Neurospora crassa OR74A: one gene and its partner. The protein of the gene in region 1 interacts with the protein of each later gene in a pairwise test. Links are inferred from orthologs where the notes say so. Each region holds a gene or a part of one and is shown on either strand. Other genes may lie near its edges.

What was found. The genes of interacting proteins can lie anywhere in the genome.
Region 2: the proteins of NCU00040 (region 1) and NCU03876 interact in binary tests that used the Saccharomyces cerevisiae proteins (3 or more experiments, as listed by UniProt). The link is inferred for Neurospora crassa OR74A from reciprocal best matches to the Saccharomyces cerevisiae genes RPG1 and TIF34.

The regions. Positions count from the first base shown.
Region 1 is NC_026503.1:2,375,198-2,379,470, forward strand, and holds the start of NCU00040 (eukaryotic translation initiation factor 3 110 kDa subunit), read right to left. Parts: upstream 2,801-4,273; 5' UTR 2,325-2,800; coding exon 2,322-2,324; intron 2,090-2,321; coding exon 1-2,089.
Region 2 is NC_026506.1:1,995,036-1,998,926, forward strand, and holds NCU03876 (eukaryotic translation initiation factor 3 subunit 2), read right to left. Parts: upstream 2,546-3,891; 5' UTR 2,284-2,545; coding exon 2,234-2,283; intron 2,107-2,233; coding exon 1,509-2,106; intron 1,377-1,508; coding exon 984-1,376; 3' UTR 501-983; downstream 1-500. Other genes in the region: crf4-1 (chromatin remodelling complex ATPase chain ISW1), read left to right, coding at 1-33; NCU03877 (C-1-tetrahydrofolate synthase), read left to right, coding at 3,589-3,891. UniProt on the Saccharomyces cerevisiae protein: Component of the eukaryotic translation initiation factor 3 (eIF-3) complex, which is involved in protein synthesis of a specialized repertoire of mRNAs and, together with other initiation factors, stimulates binding of mRNA and methionyl-tRNAi to the 40S ribosome.

The DNA.
Region 1 (4,273 bases):
TCATGCGGATCTTGTTGCTGTCAAGGGTCTCGATGTCCTCACCCTGAAGTTCCTCAAGCTTCATATCCTTGAGGAGGGCTTCAACTTCCTTCCTCTTGATTTGCTCGCGCTCGTTGGCAAGACGCTTCGCCTCGCGGAGCTTCTGTTCCTCGGCAAGACGGGCGGCCTCAGCCTGTTGGAGGGCCTGCTCCTGGAGCAGCTTCTTGCGAGCGTTCTCCTTCTCCTTCTGGGCCTGAGCCTCAGAAGCCTTATCCTTGCGCGTCTGGATGATCTCCTTGCGAGCAAGGACCTCCTGGTGCTCCTTCTCGGCTCCAGCCTTAGCACGAGCAAGGGCCTCATCACGAGCCTTGATGCGAGCCTCGTTGAAGCTAGGATCGATATAGCGGCAGGTGGTGTAAAGAGCCTCAGCGAGGCGAGTGAGCTGAGAGCGCACAATCTGGGAGGGAGTGCTCTGGAGACGCTGTACAGAGCCAGTCTCGCTCTCGGCAGAGCCGGCAGAGGAACCGGCGTGGACAGCCTTGGCGGAAGAGAAGACATCAGCATCGAAGCTAAGAACGCCAGTGGCGTGGTCCATGCGGATGGCGAGATCGCCCTTCTTGTTGCCGTTCATAATGAACTTCTCAATGGTGCCGCGAGTGACCTGGAAAGGCTCGGGGAATTGAGCCAAGCTCTCGACGAACTCAAGGTCGACAGTCTCATACACCTGCGAAAGCTGCTGGAACAGGCGGGTGAGAATGACCTGCTGAAGAGGAAGGATGTACTTCTGCATCTCGGCATCGGCGCCAATCTCCGCGAGAATGGGGGAAATCTTCTGGCAAATGGAAAGAGGATGGAAGTCGACCTCGAGGATGTTGTAAAGATCGCGAATCTGGGGCTGGGCGCGGCGGAGAAGCGACTTGGAAAGGGCATCGCGGAAGAGTCCAGCACGGGTAGGAGCCTGGGCCATGCCGAGCAGGTGGGTCAAACGAGAGTTCTTGTTCTTGCGGGCCTCATCGAAGTCCACCATGGCACCGCGAGAGCGCGAGGTGCTGATGACGGGAATGGAGAGGGCGGAGAGAATGACAAAGGTGGCAGCCCTCTGGAGGTCAGCATCGCTGCAAGCCGGGTTATCAGCCTTCTTGCTGTGGCCAGAAGCAATGAGAGCAGCAGACTGGCGCAAGAGGTTGTAGTAACGAGCCCAAGCAGCGGCGTGGAAGAGGTAGTTCTCGCCGACAAGGAAGATACGGGTGAGCTTCTCGTAGTAGTTGGCCATCATGACGTTCTTGGCGGGGCGCTTGCTGAGGCTGAGGAGGGTGTGGATATCCTCAACACTGCGGAAAGCCTCCTGCCAGAGCTCGAGCTCAACGGCGACGTTGAGCTGCTGGAAACGGGTCTCAAGGTGACGCTGAAGAGTATCGGGGTCGTTCAGGTTGATGGCGTGCATCTGGGCCGAGTACTTGGCGGCGGTCTGGACATGGTTGCGGAGAAGCTCGCAGAGGCGGCGGAACTCGGTCTTGCGGGTGTACTTGAGGCAGAAGTCGAAAGCCTGCATAGCGGTGCTCTGATAGAGAACCTCGAGGCGGGCATTGTTCCTGAGAATGTCAAGAACAGTGCGGTAAGCCTCCCAAAGGAACTTCAGCCAAGGAGTGACGATAGCGCGGTCGGTGCGGTCGCGAGACTGCTCACCGGAAACGGTAGCGAGCAGGATGGACTCGGGGGTCTCGCTGGCCTCGAGATCGTCGATGTTGGAGGTGGTGGCCTCGATGCTGGACTGGACCTCGTCGGCCTTGGCCTGGGCAGCAGTGACCTTCTCGGCGGCGAGCTCGATGAACTTCTTGAGAACCAACTCGATGGTGGCGACGTTGGTGTTCTGGGCGATGTTCTTGTACTGGTAGAGGGCGTCCTTGGCGAGCTTGCCCTTCTTCTGCTCGACGGAGAGCTCGACGAGTAGGAGCATGACGGGCTCCAGGGAGGCGATGGGGACATTGCGGGAGCGCTTCGAGGTGATGTGCTCGTGGAGCAGGGTCAGGGCGGCGGGGGCCTGGTTGACCCCGATGAGCTCGTGGGCGCGCTTGAGAACATTCTCAGGCTTTTGGTGAGGTGGGGGAGGCTGTTGATGATCAGTAATGGTCACCACGGGTCACAACACACGACGACACTTGGTGGTGAGCGGGACAGGCGGGGAGCGGGGGTGGTCGAGGGTTGAAGGGGGGGGTGGAGGGCAGGGTGGGCGGTGATGAGGTTAGGTGACGATGGAGTTGGCTTTCCAGTCAAAGGAGGGGCAGAAGATTATATGAACTCGAAGCCATAACCATAAGGCTATGGCTGTATTCCCAACTCACCATGATGGGCAACTCCTCGGCACTTGGCTAATCTGGAGGAGATATGGATAAAGTGGTGATAGGGGACGCGGCGCGCAAAGCAGCACGTAGAAATGCTGGAGACTTTGGCTGAGGCTGCGCTGTCCAGGACGATTTTTTCGCCTCGTGGAGAAGTTCAGTTCGTTGCCAGCCAAAAAAGCCCTGGCCAAGGCTAGAGGCTCGATTTTGCTGAGGAGCACTTTGTGGGCTGGGATGATGCGGGACAGTCACGTGATGCAGCTTATCGAGCACGTCGCTGCGACAACAACTCAGAGGCGTGAAGTGCAAGTTGTTGTGCGAATGGATGTTTGGTCACTTCTGTAGCAATGGGGATTGACTGAGATGCAATTATTTTCTTGATCTTAACCGTGATCTGCTGTGAGGCTATTGTGCACAATGGTAAAAAGGTTGGATTGTCGCAAAGGGCAAGTGGGATGTTCTGCCATCTTGGCGTCTGGTGCTGTCCAGTCTGGTGTACACTAGAAAGGAGCTCCATGGTGTGTGTGCACAGCGGCTTTTGTTCTTTCTTTGTGCCCGAGTTCCCAGCCCGCTGGCGACGGGCGTTCTTCTCTGCCGGGCCACGGACCCCCGCCTTGACCGATGACGGACCGTCGGCGGTCTTGCCAAGCTTTCTCACGGCTGTCATCGACGAAATTGCACTTTGAGGCTTAGTTGGAACTTGGAACAGAATCGTGGTGCGAACTTCGGTCGAGTATTGAGAAGATAATCCCCAGTAAGAACATATATCCTCCTAAAAGGCATATGATATCGCTGCTTGAACTGCTAGAGTGGCTGCAAACTCTTCTCCTGTAGCTGAATGCACACCAGCAACTGCATAGGACTTCACGGTCTGTGATTACTGTAGTGTACATACATACATACATACATACATGCAGAAACAGGAGGCTCTCCTCTGTACCCTCGTCGTCCCACCCAGAGCGTTCAAGCTCGCGTCCATCATCGGTCGGAGCAAGTGGGCACCCACCCAATGGCGCCATTCCCAATCCCGTCCGGAGATGCCTGCTGAGCCGGGGTGGTTCCGCTAGACCATCAAAGGGGGGACGATAAAGTGGGGGCGGAACCCGTCGTGTTCTGACTGCCCTGCATTTGCCATTCTTGCTGCAGCTTTCATGCACAGCAGCACCGACAGATCCAAAAAAGGTCCCGTCGGTTGGTCGGACTAGTCCTGTCCCTGCCTATCCAGCGGCGGTGGCAGCAGTCCATCTTCAACGGCCTCCATCGTGCTTTTCTTTTCCTAGATCTTGACCTCCAGTCCCGCTTCCAGAAGCTTGCAACAATGTCAATCACAATGGCACGGATGGGGCAGGACAATAGGGAGGCCGGCACCTCATCCTGAATGCGGAGCTCGTGGTGATACTTGCTATCTTGTCTTGATACTAACTCGTCTGCACCCATTCCGTCTACGGTCGTAGTTAGTGTCGAGTTAATCTAACCAAACCCTGCTAAGCGACCCCCTGGTCCGTCTCATTTGCACTTGGCCCTTTTTTTCCTCGTCGCCCTGGGTTGCTTTGGCTGCCCAGAAGAGGAGTGCAGCACCGAAAGCGACCAGCATTGCAGCAGTGCAAGTGCAGGTAAAAGCGCAGCACTGCAGCAGGCCAAGCAGGGGGAGACTGGGGCGTCCATGCCTGCTGGGGAATTGCACGGACTGCACCCGCCTACCGAACCGTTCCCTGCTGCGCTGCTACTGGTTCTACAGGCTGCGCACTGACCCCCGTCGCGGTCCGGGGCCCGCCAGTGGCACTGAAGGAATGAAGGAACTTCCATATGGGCGCCCCTTCTCTTCCCAAGACTTGCTATTAGGAATCGTCAATCGTGTGTCGGTCCTAAGCATTCCTGGCATCGTTGTCCGCAATTCCTCCCTCTCTTCAATCCTCGGGACAGTCAATGATCCATTTGCGCCTTCTCCGACCCTT
Region 2 (3,891 bases), on another chromosome or scaffold:
GGCAAGGCTGCCCCCAAGGGAAAGAAGAAGTAGACCGCCTGATGGTGGTCCAGACCAAAAATACAAGCTACGGCACATGTATTGACTTGGCTTGGTATTCGAAGCTGTAGTTGCGTTTCATATGACTGGGTTAGATTGGGTGAAGGGGCTCGGTTCACCACTGAGAAGAGTCCAGGGAGGGTTAATGCAGTTGGCTCGCGGCGTTTCCGTTGTGTCGTATTCATGTTGCGGTCTCGGTGATGGTTATCTCACCTGCCGTCATTTAGCGAGGGATTTCTCTGCCTACCTGAGGAACAAAAGATATCCTTTTGGTCAAATCCGTTCTCTGATGGATGAATAGGGCATGATGTGCGCAGTCTTGTACTTCCTTTACCCCTGTATTATTGTTTCCACTTGTGTTGGATTCTTATTGACCATAAGGGAGTGAGTAAGCAATTGGCGAAAGACCTCTACTTATAACGTCCAATCTGATATCACATGAACGAGGTTGCGCAAGATAGTAAGCAGAAGAACGACCGAATTCAACTATGACAAATGACTCTTCTGTGCTTCGATAGGGACCAAAGGTTCCTTTCGTGACAAGATGGAAATTACATATCCGCTCTCCGCGCGACTCACTTGTTCGTTCGTTTGCTTCACATCGAACCGCACCACCTCATCGCTCCAATTTTTGCTCCTTTTCACTTTTTTTTTCACCAAATATTGGGTGGAATCGCCCAAATTCTCAGATTAGGTTGCCTGAAAAAAACGCCGTTTGTGAAATGCCCATTTCCCCCAAATTGTTGGATCCCTGGACGCGCGATGTAAAATAACCCGTTTGCTCATTTCCTTCCTCCGACAAGTCGAGAGAATCCTGAACTCAATAACACGACACCCATATTTCGTCCCGCGAATCGCCTTTCCGCCCCTTTCTGCCGCCCCTCCTCGGATCCTGCTTGCTGAAAGTCCGAAAGTTTCGATCGATGTCGATAGAAGGGATCCGTTTAGGCAGAAATGGTCTGCTGTTGTTGCTGGTTGAGCTTGTTTTGCCTCTCCCTCTCGACCTCGTACATAAAGTCAAAGTAACCCTTGTCGAAGTGATGGATACGGACGTAACCGTCCTCACCACCGCTGGCGTAGCTCTTGCCGGTCGGGTCGGCGGCAACCGTGTTGAGGGGACCGAAGTGACCGCGCACACGACCAATTTCGCTCTCGAAGATCTTGTGGTAGAAACGCGCCTCGAATTTACCCTGACGCGCGGAGGTGGTGGTGACATCCATGGCAGCCTGACCACCACCGAGAATGACGAAGTCCTTCTTGCGAGTGATGGTAGCGCTGTTAAGAGGGGTGTCGGCGGGGTAGGTCTTGAGGACCTCCAGGTCCTTAGCTGTGATGAGCTGTGAAAATAATCAAGGAGTGTTAGCATGCGATTGACTGTTCATTGATTTCGGTTTTAAGGATCCGGGAAGAAGACCAAAGAAAGAAAAAAAAAAGGGGGGGGGGGGGGGTTGTGGAGCCATGTGACATACCTTGGAGGTCTTGTCCTTGGAGGCGGTAATGAAGTATGTACGGTCGTGCGACCACTGGAGATCGGTGATGGGCTGGTTGAGCTCGTGGATGGGGATGTTGTAGAGGAGGTCGCCGTTCTTGCCGTCGAACTGGGAGACGGAGCCGTCTTCGTGGCCGGCAATGATGTACTTGCTGAGATAACTCCAGCCAGCAACAGTGGCCTTGCTGTCCTCGCAAACGATAGTCATGGCCTTCTCATCGCTCTGCTCGGCGTCAACATCGAGCTTGATGTCGAGGACAACGATGGTACCCAGATGACCCATGCGCTTCTCCGTCACACCCAGAAGCTTGCTGCCATCCTCACTGAACTCAACGCGCTTGACGGCGGTAGGGAAGTCCCATGTCTTAAGAAGTCTGCCGGTCTTGATCTCCCAAAGGCGGATGGTGTTGTCGGCAGAACCAGAGGCGAGGATGGTGGATGTGGGGTCGACATCAATGGTCCAGATGGCGCCCTGGTGGCCGTGGTATGTACCGAGACGCTCGCCGTTGTGCGCGAACCAAACGCAAATCTGCTGGTCCTTGGAAACTGAGAAGAGCAAATCACCGTCGCGGTTGTACCTGTTGGGGGTAAAGGGTTGCTGTTAGAGGCTGCATCTCTATATGCCCGACATGCCAAAGCCAGAACACCAAGAGGGGTCGGGTCGGCGGGTAAGGTATGCGATGATGATGCGGAGGGAAGACGAACTTGATCTGGGTGAGGGCACGTTCGTGGCCCGAAAGAAGAATGGGCCTCATCTTGATTGTGGGTTATTAAATATGACGAGGCGTGGACGGCGGTATGGAAGTGTTATGGTCGTTAGAAGACACTGAGTGGATTCGTCGTCGAGAAATATCGCGGGGGGGGGTTGCACGACTTGGGAGGTAGGTGGGTGGATTAGTGTCTTTGTAGATGCGGTCGTCGTCGTCGGATCGGTCTTTGGTGTTCTTTCTTTGGGTGGATTTCCACTCCCAGTAATTTTTCCGCAGATTGTGCGCGATAGGCTGGCTGGCTCTGGCGGATTCTGACGGCCGCGGGGCGAACCAACACCTATCCCTGCAGATGCCAAGCTGCCCCTCTCCAGTCCCTCGTCCCAGCCAGCCGTGTGCCATCCATTGAAGCTGCTGGTTTCAGTTCGGACCGGACTCTGGACCTTGCGATGCAGCCTGCCACCTCGATCCGCCGCTCGCAGCCTGCCGGCCCGTCGACAGCCACCGATAAGAAGTTGTGGCTCAGTCTGTGACTCAGAGTTTAAGAGTCAGCTGTATTCGTCAAGCCTGTGCCGCGGCCGCAAGCCACACCAACTTCAATCTAGAACAACGACACAGACAGGACAGTGCGAGCACATCATGATCCGAGCTGCTACCTGCAGCAAGCCGAGAACTTGTAGAGTCATGGATGCAGCATCTAGACACCCACTTCAATTGCAGTTATATGAATGCCCTCTTCCGGGGGTCGCATCGAGGAGGAAAAGTTCTTCAACTCTCGGAGATTTGTAGACGGAAATAGAGGCTTTTCTAACGAGACATGGTAGGATTCTTGCAAGAATGCATGGTGAATACGTACTATTTTGAGAAGCTTGGGTTTGGGCTCTATTCTATTTAGGTTATCTCATTGGCTTCACGTTTTGTTGTCACATTTACACTGGTCATTTGCGGCACGTCTTGAGACGCTCACCTTCGGTGACTCCTCGAGAAGGGAAAGAAAGAAAAAAAAAAGAAAAAAAAATCACAAATCACGAAACCTCTATTCCCGCCAGCAAACCGGCGATCATTGGATCCTCGACATCGATCCCCCGTCGTCTACCTAGGCGGGAACCCATTGTGACTCTTCTGTGCGGCGCAGAAAACCCCTGGGTCCCGAATCCGTCTGGTCCCACCCCGTCGTGGAGGTGCCCGGGGGCGTCGAGAGAGCTTGGCCGGGCGGAAGTCTTGAGCTTCTGAATATCCCTTACCCCGAGCCTGCGTCCGCTGCTGTTCAGTGTGATGTTGTTACAGCACGCACGCAGAAAGACCACTGCACCCTTCTTCTAGCTCTACAGTACCAGTCTGCGTCGTGTAGGCATGGCCATCTCCAGCTTCATCCAGAGGGTGTCTTCCACGTCAAGGAAGTCGCGTCGAGCCGGAAGCTGTCTCACATCCCTGTCCGCACACGGGTCGCTGAACACACGGCGGCGCATTCAAGTCGAGCATACGGGACAAGACGTGCTCAAAAGATGGACATTGTCGTGGGGCACGGAATCCGACTCTCGGAGCTCTACCTCGGCTTTCGTCGCCTCTGCAGCTGGTACCACTGACTTCTCCGCCGCCCCGCGATCCACCTGCAGCCGCCCTAAGAAATCCCGTTATTGGCGCCTATCTCCAGTG